Linked DNA regions of Caenorhabditis elegans. The protein of the gene in region 1 interacts with the protein of each later gene in a pairwise test. Each region holds a gene or a part of one and is shown on either strand. Other genes may lie near its edges.

What was found.
Region 2: the proteins of swan-1 (region 1) and ugt-3 interact in a two-hybrid assay, tested with the Caenorhabditis elegans proteins (one large-scale study listed by BioGRID).

What each region holds. Positions count from the first base shown.
Region 1 is NC_003283.11:13,803,722-13,809,109, reverse strand, and holds swan-1 (WD_REPEATS_REGION domain-containing protein), read left to right. Parts: upstream 1-1,872; 5' UTR 1,873-1,898; coding exon 1,899-2,171; intron 2,172-2,629; coding exon 2,630-2,836; intron 2,837-2,880; coding exon 2,881-2,988; intron 2,989-3,037; coding exon 3,038-3,173; intron 3,174-3,228; coding exon 3,229-3,587; intron 3,588-4,268; coding exon 4,269-4,352; 3' UTR 4,353-4,715; downstream 4,716-5,388. Other genes in the region: swan-2 (WD_REPEATS_REGION domain-containing protein), read left to right, coding at 5,386-5,388.
Region 2 is NC_003283.11:12,797,805-12,802,353, reverse strand, and holds ugt-3 (glucuronosyltransferase), read left to right. Parts: upstream 1-2,082; 5' UTR 2,083-2,160; coding exon 2,161-2,301; intron 2,302-2,350; coding exon 2,351-2,576; intron 2,577-2,622; coding exon 2,623-2,712; intron 2,713-2,758; coding exon 2,759-3,477; intron 3,478-3,613; coding exon 3,614-4,027; 3' UTR 4,028-4,046; downstream 4,047-4,549. Other genes in the region: ugt-6 (UDP-glucuronosyltransferase), read left to right, coding at 4,277-4,429.

The DNA.
Region 1 (5,388 bases):
AGGTGCTCCTGAACAAATATTCAAAATGTGCAGGATTTTCTAAACAATTTCAGGCTCAGTCAGATCAGATTTCTTTTTGAATGGCTTGTTCCAGTCTTTACAGTTAATACTTCTAAATTATCAAGGTAGATTGTAGGGCAGTTTTACATAACTCTCACGGAGCTTCAGTGTTTTTAAAGTCAACTGGAACGTATTCTACGATCATCCAGATCCGGAAAACTTGCATCATAATGCACCGTTTCTGGCGTCATGTGCTCCTTGTAATTTCATTTTTTCTCTTCCACCTGCAACCGAGTATTCGGGGTCAACGTATCCGCTAGCCGCATTGCATGTCCGTCTAGCCGACCTCTGCGTCTCCATTTCTGCAAAACGAGATGGACAGACGGCACGTAACGCAGAGAATCTTTTCGTTTCTTCTTTTTTCATTTTGCTTCGCTCACTCACTCTCTCACTCACTCACACACGCACTCACGCAATGGTCTCTAACTCTCTGTGTAACTCTCCTATTTCTACCTACTACCTCGTCCAGTGCAGCTAGTCGGTGGCCCCCTTCGGTGAATAGACGAACACTGCACAGTTTACACTATTTGCATACTATCGATTGGTTACAATCTGCAACGCACTGTTTCTGTCTCTTTACATTCCTCCTAATTCCCTAATTCCATTGTTGCTCATTAGTGAACTAATGCGGGTATTCCCAGTTGACCACTAACTATTTTTTGCAAACTTTTCAATGTGATCTTTTGGATAATTTTCTTCTGTTCTTGTTCGAACTTTCATTGTTTTTTTCCAAATTGGAAATAGATTCGGAAAATGTTCGAAATTTGGAAAAGTTTGCAAAATAATTCCATTTTTATAATGTTAAATTGGAAAAAAAATTGTCCGAACAAAAATTTTCTCAGAACTAACTTCCAGTTTTTCTTCTTTTTTTTTATGCAAAAGTTGAATTTTGGTCCTCTTGACAACTTCGAAAATTACAATTTTTGTCCAAAACTTGCTACATTTTTTCAGCTCATTTTCCAATCAGCGTTACCTCCAAAAAAGTTCAAATCAAGTCAGTTTTGAATATCCAATGTTTGTCAAAAATTCAGAATGCAATAAACAAAACTATAGTATGTGATCAATTTTACTCCTCTAAAATTGTTTCTTTCTATTTTTTCGCTTAAATTAAATTTTCGATCTCTATGATTAGGCTGTCCAAATTTAAATTAAAAGTGTCGGCATTAATCTGGAATAGACTGAAATCCCAATATAGGAATTGCCCATATCTCGGTGTTTTGGACTCAATTTTCTTATACTTAATTGAATCTGTTTGTCGTTTACTTTTATGTTTTTGGTAGTGTGCTTTAAAAAACATGGCAATCGTTCAAGCTTTACAACTACCTGATTAGCATTTCTTTTCTGATTTATAATGTCATATCACATCAAAATGACCTAGAAACAACTTGATCTACCCCCCCCCCCCCCTGCCTTGTTGAAATAATCGAATCCCTTTTCAACTTCACCTGTCTCATTTGAGCTGCTCTCCTGCTCTCTACTGCCTTCTTTTCATCTTCAACATTCCACCACCACCTCCATTCCATTCGTTTTCGATTTAGTGTAACAAAGTGCGTTCTTCCCTCTCTTTCTCTCTTTTTCCCTCATTTTCTTCCTGTGTCCTTCTACTTTTCAATTTTATTTTTCTCGTTCTCGTGTTCCCTGCGTCTATTGATTTACCGTATTCTCTGTGATCGTCTTTTCCCTGGAACCTTTCTGTTTTGTCGAATTCGATTTGAAAACTACTACTCTCACTTTTTTTTCGCTCTTTCCCTCGTTCGCTTACTAGTTTCCAATTATTCTAATAATCCCCTCACGCAGTGTTTTATCTTGCAGAAACTTGTGAACCCTTATCACCTGCAATGGCTACCAATGGTCACGCAGTGAACGGAGAAGCTCATGTTATGCAACAAGTCGCACAACAACCAGCTCCACCAGGACCATTAGCTCCGCAAGGGATCGGAAGACAGAACGAAATTGTGATCGGAGGACGTGATCGACGTTGTGAGATCTATAAATTCACGTCTGATCAACAGTTGTATGCATCGGCATGGAGCAACAAAAATGATATCAAATTTCGACTTGCTGTGGGAACAGTATCCGACGTGTCCGTTAACCCATGTGCCGCAAACAAGGTGAGTTTTTGAAAAATTTGAAAACGTGTGAGTGGTAATGTTGGCCATAGTCAATAAGGTCCCATTTACTGAAATACCACAAAAAACGCAATTCTAAAAAACGGGTTTTTGCAAATTCTAATCTACTGTTTAAGTTGTCTACAAAATAAGAACTGCAAGATTAAACAGCGATCGTTCTTATTTTTGAGTTGAGTTATATTTTTGAGTCGAGTTTTACTATAGTTCAAAGACACAATTTAGAAAAACTGGAAATCGGAACAAATCGAAATTGAACTGTTCAGGTTTTAAACATAATTTTTGTCTTTCCTTTTGCGGTATTTCAGTATGTATATTAAAACATTTCGAATATTTTGAATTGAAAACCCTATAGACTGTACTCCAATGTAAAAGTTAAAAAAAAAAAAAACGAAATTTATATGTATTTTGAAACATAACAGTTCCAATTAAAACGTTTTCAGGTATCAATTGTACAACTAAAAGACGAAACTGGCGAGCTTGTCGAGACGGCGAGCTTTCCAATGGAGTTCCCAGCCAATGCAGTCGGTTTTATTCCGGATCCAGACAACGTTTACCCTGATCTCATTGCCACAACATCAGATTGCCTTCGCCTCTGGCGAGTAGTTGATGGAAAAGTTCATCCAGACGCAGTTATGATCAATAATACTGTACGTTAAACCTGTAAATTTTTAGTGTTCAATGGAATTTTCAGAACTCACAATATGGATCAGCTTTGACAAGTTTCGACTGGAACGAGCTGGAGCCGAGGTATATTGGAGTTTCCAGTGTAGATACGACTTGCACAATTTATGATGTTGAGGTGAGTTATAATTTTGATAAGATTTAGTGAAATGTTTACAAATATTCAGGTTGGTTGCGCAATTGGGCAGACCAAGCCGACAGCTCCATTCACACTCAAAACACAACTGATTGCTCATGACAAGCCTGTTCACGATATCGAATTTGCTAAAATCAATGGCGGTCGTGATCATTTTGCAACTGTTGGTGAGTCTTGTCTAGCTAGTATTTGCATCTTTTTATAAACATTACGAGTTTCCAGGAGCTGACGGAAGTGCCCGAATGTTTGATCTTCGACATTTAAACCACTCGACAATTGTCTATGAAGATCCAAACAAGGAGAAGCTTCAAAGACTGTCATGGAACAAACAAGAACCTTATTTCATGGCTTTATTTGCCGAGAACAGTCAAGAAGTTCAAATTCTTGACATTCGTATGCCATGCAACATTCTCTGTCGACTCCGTAATCACACTGGACCAGTGAACGGAATTGCATGGGCCCCACACAGTCCACATCACATTTGTACTGCTGGAGACGATTCACAAGCTCTGATTTGGGATCTGCAGCAGGTTCCAAGACCCGTTGATGATCCGATTCTGGCTTATTCGGCTGGTGGAGAGGTGAGCATTTGAATTTGAACTTAAAATCTTATCCGATCAAGATCAAAAAGTAGTGAGATTAAAAAATATATATACCTGAAAATTAAAACGAATGCTGAAAGAGAACTTTCAAAAGTTGACACTAACGATTACAAAAAAAAAACATTTACACGCAGTTATTTGAATTTAATTATAAAAATCTCATTCATTCATTGAACATTTTACCTGAAAATTGAATAAAAAGGTAAAAAAGGTGCGTCCCTTTTTGTTAATTTTTTGCATCAAATTTTCTTATATTTCTTAGAATTTTACATAATTTTCTACAATGTCACTAGTGGGACTCAGAGGTGCAGTCTTAAAAATTGCAAGTAATGAGCCACTTTGAAAACTGGAATATTTGAGATCTGAGAGTTTAAAAACTGTTTTTCGAAGCGGATTGTTTTTATTCTACCATGTTTACATTACATTTGCTGAAACAGTTAACAATTACATCCAAGTTTTTTCTTCTATGCCGAACTTAGCTTGGCTCCGTTTTCGGGGTGAATTTTTTTCCACCTGCTTTTCCGGAATCATAAACATCGAAGTTTCATACTACGTTCAGCTGTTGCACGTAGTTTCTTAGAAAACATAAACTATGAATTGTCACCTAAATTTTGTTGGAGATTTCCAGTTTCAAAACTTTCATTACTATACAATTTCCAGGTCAATCAAATTCATTGGGGTCCTGTACACAGTAACTGGATTGCAATTTGCTTCAACAAAACTCTTGAGATTCTTCGAGTTTGAGCAGAGGATGTGCGTTCTGTTTGAGAACTAACAAAAATTTCTCACATTTCTCAATTAACGTTATTTTCCATTTCCTGTTATGTTTTTATGTTTTTAAATTATAATTTTTTGTCAATTGCTCTGATTTCAAGTCACTTTCTCCGCCTTTGTTGTGAACAACTTATTTGAATTAATTCCAAAGCATCAGTATGATGATTCACGATCTCTTTCAAACCTCAATTTTCTCACGCCAACACACAATTGTTTTATCCACCCGAAAATTATTGTTTTATATCCTATTTTTTTCCATTTTCCATTGTGATAAGGTTACAGGAAACCCGAAAATTTTTTAAGGTGGTTTCAAAAAAAATTTCAGAAATTGTATTTTTTTAAAATATTTATTTTTAACTGAAATACTCCGGTAAATTCCTCCGGCTTTTATACTTTTCAAAATGGATTTTCACTTTGGTATTTCTTTAATTTCTGGTTTTTCACAGGAAAATTCTTCCGACACAGCAGCCGAACGTGAAGCCGCAGCGGTCGTCTCAGCTGCAGACCGCCGAAGACTTTCGGTTTGTACCGAGAGCTCCGCCCGCGCCAGCGGCACCCACATCGTCATCCGCGACGACGACACAGTCTGCTAATGTGAGTTTTCATTTTAGCGAAAGTATTGATGAAAAATTATGTACATCAAAATTGACGTCATTTTTCATCTGTGCCTACGTTGCGAAATGTGATGAACCTTTATATTGACCACCCGACCGTTTCCGCGTGACTGACTGAAAACATGTGTTTGCCATATGAACCTAATTTCTTGACAGCAATGTTGCTTATTGTTTCAGAATTAATCGACTAGTTTTTTCAAACTTTTTGATAGAAAATTGTTTCTTATGAACAGTTCAAGTTTTAGTTTCAATAATACATATAATATCTCTTGAAATACCTACTTTCTCTACAATTTTTTGTTCAAAATTTCATTTAAGAACCATTAAAACTTTGCCTGAAATAATCAAGAGATATCCCAATTAAAAAAAAATTTCTCATTTAGTCTCGAATG
Region 2 (4,549 bases), 1.0 Mb from region 1:
ATCACTTTTTTGTGGCCATCATTCTTTCTATTGAAATAATTGCGGCAATCCAAGATCTCATTTCTAGGAACGTGTTAGAAAAAACACCGACAAAGAATGAAACTTCGAAACAATTTCTGATAATATTAACGTAATTATAGTACTTATAAAATAAATAGCACCTAAACAAAGAAAATTTCAACATATGTTCTGCAAACGCCTAACTCGCAATAAAAATTAGTTGATATTCTATCTTCTTCCATGTTTTACTGAAATTAGTTATCAGTATTAACTCTCAGGAACCAGAATAAACTTACAAAATAAATTTCTGCAAAATATTAGGTTGAACCGGAAATCTTTGTGACTGGGTTTGCTTTTCCAACGCTAGCCGCAGTTGCACTTTGGTGTTCCCTTGTTGCTAGGGTATAACAACGAGTAAAGGAACTTCATTTTGAAAATCACCCCACTCCTTTCCCTTTGGTCTGAGTTCAGTTAGCCGACAATGTATTTATCTAGTGCCATCCACATCCGACATGGTTCGATGCACCTTTTTCTCTCTCATACCACGATGAAGGATTCGGAAAGTCTCCTGAAGGATGTTTATCATCGACATGTCCGCCACTATAATACTATATACATTTGGTTCCATCACTTCGAAAAGGACGACTTTTCTCTCGAAGACTCTGAGACCCCATAAATTGGATTTGGACACGTTGCAGAAAGCCATGGCAACGGATCCTTTCCAAACCTCCCGTGAGCTGTCAACCGCACTTCAATCCTATCAAACCATCATCGTACGGGGCTGGGAAGCTCTTGGAATGAAGAAAATTATGGGTCGATTCATACCTCACTCTTCGACACAAGCCAACCATGATTTTTGAGTGGATGATTCCATTTCACCCCTCACTCTCCATGGGGCCGATCGATGTTTGGGCCGACTCATCACTGGAACCGAGAAGTGGGTCCTCCATGATAAGAACCACACGCGTGCCCAGTGGTTTGTAGAAGGAGAAACCCCACAGGGTGCCGCCAAACCCGACCTTAACCCCAAAAACGTCATGCTCTCAGTGTGGTGGGGAGTGTACGGCCCCATCAACTGGGAACTGCTTCCTGGGGGCAAAATAGTTAATGGGGACCTTTAAGTTATCTAACCACAAAACCTAAGGAACATATTCAATCGTTCACCCCTGAAGGACGAGCAACTCTACTTTCAACAAAACAACGCTTATCCCTACGTCACGAAACAAGTATTGCAGGAACTGGTCAGGTATGAATGGATGATTTTCCTTCACCCACCGTATTCTTCAGACCATGCCCCATCTGCATACTGACAGTTTTCAGATATGACTCGTGATCTCCGGGAAAGAACCTTCAATACCCATGGAAGTGTCGAATTGGCACTCAAGCATTATTTCGACTCGCGCCTGGAAGGGTTCTGTGAGCAGGGCCTTCATAAGTTGCCCACACGTTGGCAGTACATTGCTGATAATAATAGCAAATAAATATTATTCTGTCGTTTCTCTTGCTCCGAGAAATAAACGATTGAAAAAGTCACAAAGACTTCCGGTTCAACCTAATATATAAACAAATAACTTTCGTTGTCGCGGTTACAATAATTCCAAGAATTGTAGAAACCCAATAACATAGGTAGAACTGTCATACTTCATACTGTCACAATTGATCAACAAATTCACAGAATAACAAAAAATTTGAAAAATTCCATGTATTAGACATCAGACAGGAACAATAATTGATAGTTTTGGATACGTGAAGCCAATGTTTTTGAAGTCTATTGGAGGCATAGATTTACCAGAGTAAAACTAGATTTTCATAATAAACTTATAAAAATTATCAAAGCAAATTTCAGGCAAATCTCTAAATTGACAAACATTTTTGGACACTTTCGAGATGAACTACTTACATGAATACATACTCTAATGCTGACTACACATTCCATTTCTTTATTTTTCTTACGTCTTTTGTTTCTTGTAATTTTTCATCGAGAACAGAGAACATAGAAATAGACACTCCAAGTAAAGAGAGATAATGTTAAAATGCAAGAGACGGTTTCAAATCGGGCGCTGATCATTTGAAAAGTTTGCAACTGAACTTAGTCTGAGTGGTATAAAATGCCTGAAAAAAATTAAGAGAATATGTTGAAGTCTAATTCTCGAACTCAAAATGAGGTACTTATTATTATTAGCATTTTTTCCCGTTGCTTTCGGGTTCAATTATCTTATTATTTCCCCAGTTTTTGGGTACAGTCATATGAAATTTATGGGAAGAATTGCAGACATCCTTGCTGATGCTGGACATAATGTGGTAAGGTTTACTTATTTAAATATTAAATTTCTTATAAGTTCGATTTTAGACTTTATTCCAACCAATAATTTATGATTACTATGCACACAAAAAAATTGTGAAGAATCCGAACATTGAAGTGATTAATTATGAAGTCGATGAAGAAGAAAAAGCTGCAGCTTCTGAAGCGAGTGTTTTCAAGTTTTTCTGGAAAGCAAAAGGATCTAAAAACCCAATCTCTTCTGCAAAAATTACATCAGAAAAACTTTACAAAGAGTTTGAGCATATTTGTAGAAGTAAGATTCATAGTTTTGTTTCAAAAATGCATTCATCAATTTTTAGAAATGCTTTTGGACAAGGAACTTCATCGTTGGATTCTATCGAAAAACTTTGACTCCCACATATCAGAGGCATTTGATTTTTGTGGTTTATGTAAGTAATAATTTAATTTACAATCAAAGTGAATAATCAATGTTAGATCTTGGAGACTTCTTGAAACTAAAATCACCAATCCCTCTCTATAGTGGAGTTCGATGTGGAGCAGCTTCATACGCTGTGGGTGAACCTATTCCATTGAATTACTTACCAACAGAGGGGTCTAATTATGGGAAGAAATCGAGCGCAATTGACCGATTAAGTGACATGCTTGGACTAACCGGTTATCACTTTCAATTCGGGATTTTGTTTGATAAACAATATGATCAAGCTTACCGATTAACTGGTGGAAATGTCCGAACTTGGCAAGAAATACTTCAAAGCTCCACGTTTTTCTTGACAAACTCCAATCCTTACTTATCATTTTCAACACCAACAATTTCAAAAGTGATTCAAATTGGAGGTTTCACTATTGAATCATTCAAAACAACTACACTCGATGAAGAATTTAACAAAATACTTTCGCTCAGAAACAACACCATTCTAGTGTCTTTTGGAACAGTTATTCAATCATCAGATATGCCAGATGATTTCAAAACTGGACTTATTGAAGCATTTCGCAGAATGCCAGATGCTACATTTATCTGGAAATATGAAGAGGATGATAAGACGTTGAAGAATAAACTTTCTGAAAACGTAGTTTTAAGCAAGTGGATTCCTCAGCCAGCTCTGTTAGCAGACAGTCGATTAGATTTGTTTGTGACTCATGGAGGTTTGGGAAGTACTATGGAAGTTGGATATGCAGGAGTGTCAAGTATTATGGTAAGTGAGATAATTCACTTCTGGTTTCACTATTTTCCTGTAAACTTTTGAAATATTTTTTCATCCAGATTCATGATTAGAATATAAAAATGTTTTACCACCCGCTAACCTTCTTGTATCAAACGTATATTTTCAGGTTCCTGTATTCAGTGATCAAGGAGTAAATGCAGAGATGTTAGCTCGCCATGGTGGTGCCATTGTCTATGACAAATTTGATCTTGTCGATAGCAAGAAACTAATGGAGACGATCCAGATGATTCTCAATAATTCTGATTACAGAAAGAATTCGAAACGTCTTTCTGATATTCTTCATAATCAACCAATGGATCCGAAGCAAGTACTTCTAAATCATTGCGAATTTGCGGCTCGATTTGCACAGGTTGATAATTTAGAACCATACGCCAATAAATACAACTTTATCGAATTTTATTGTCTTGACAGTCTAGCATTGGTTGTTTGTACAATTTCTGTTGTAGCATTAGTGATGTTTAAGATCTTAAGTTTTGTTGTCAATAGCGTAATCGAAAAATTGAAATTAAAAAAAGAATAAATAAATAATTTTTTTCCAATATTCACTAGTCAGTAGAAAGGGCATTATCAGTGCATTTATGCATAGAACAGTCCCGTGGAATTGTTCCTTTTGTTTGTCAACGAAATTTTGAACAGTCTGTAGTCCATTGGTTAGTTTGCAGTTGATACCCCTAAAAAAGTAAGTTATCAAAATGAAGAGAAATCGAAGCTGATAATATTTTATGTACAGGTACAGAAGGTAAACCAATACACTCTCTTCTTGTTTGCCATGCTTCAAATTGTACTTTTTTTGTTTATTTCAACTCTATTCGGTAATGCATATTCTTATAAATTTCTAGTCATTTCACCGGTTTATGGATTCAGTCATATGAAATATATGGCAGAATTAGCAAATCATTTGGCAAGAGCTGGAAATGATGTGGTACGTTTTTTTATTCAAAAAGTACTCAAGATTTCAAACGTGGCGTTACTTTTTGTTCTTCGAATAACGTCTGCAATTCTACTGGGACTTTTTGAAAAATTATTGTTAAGGTATCAATCT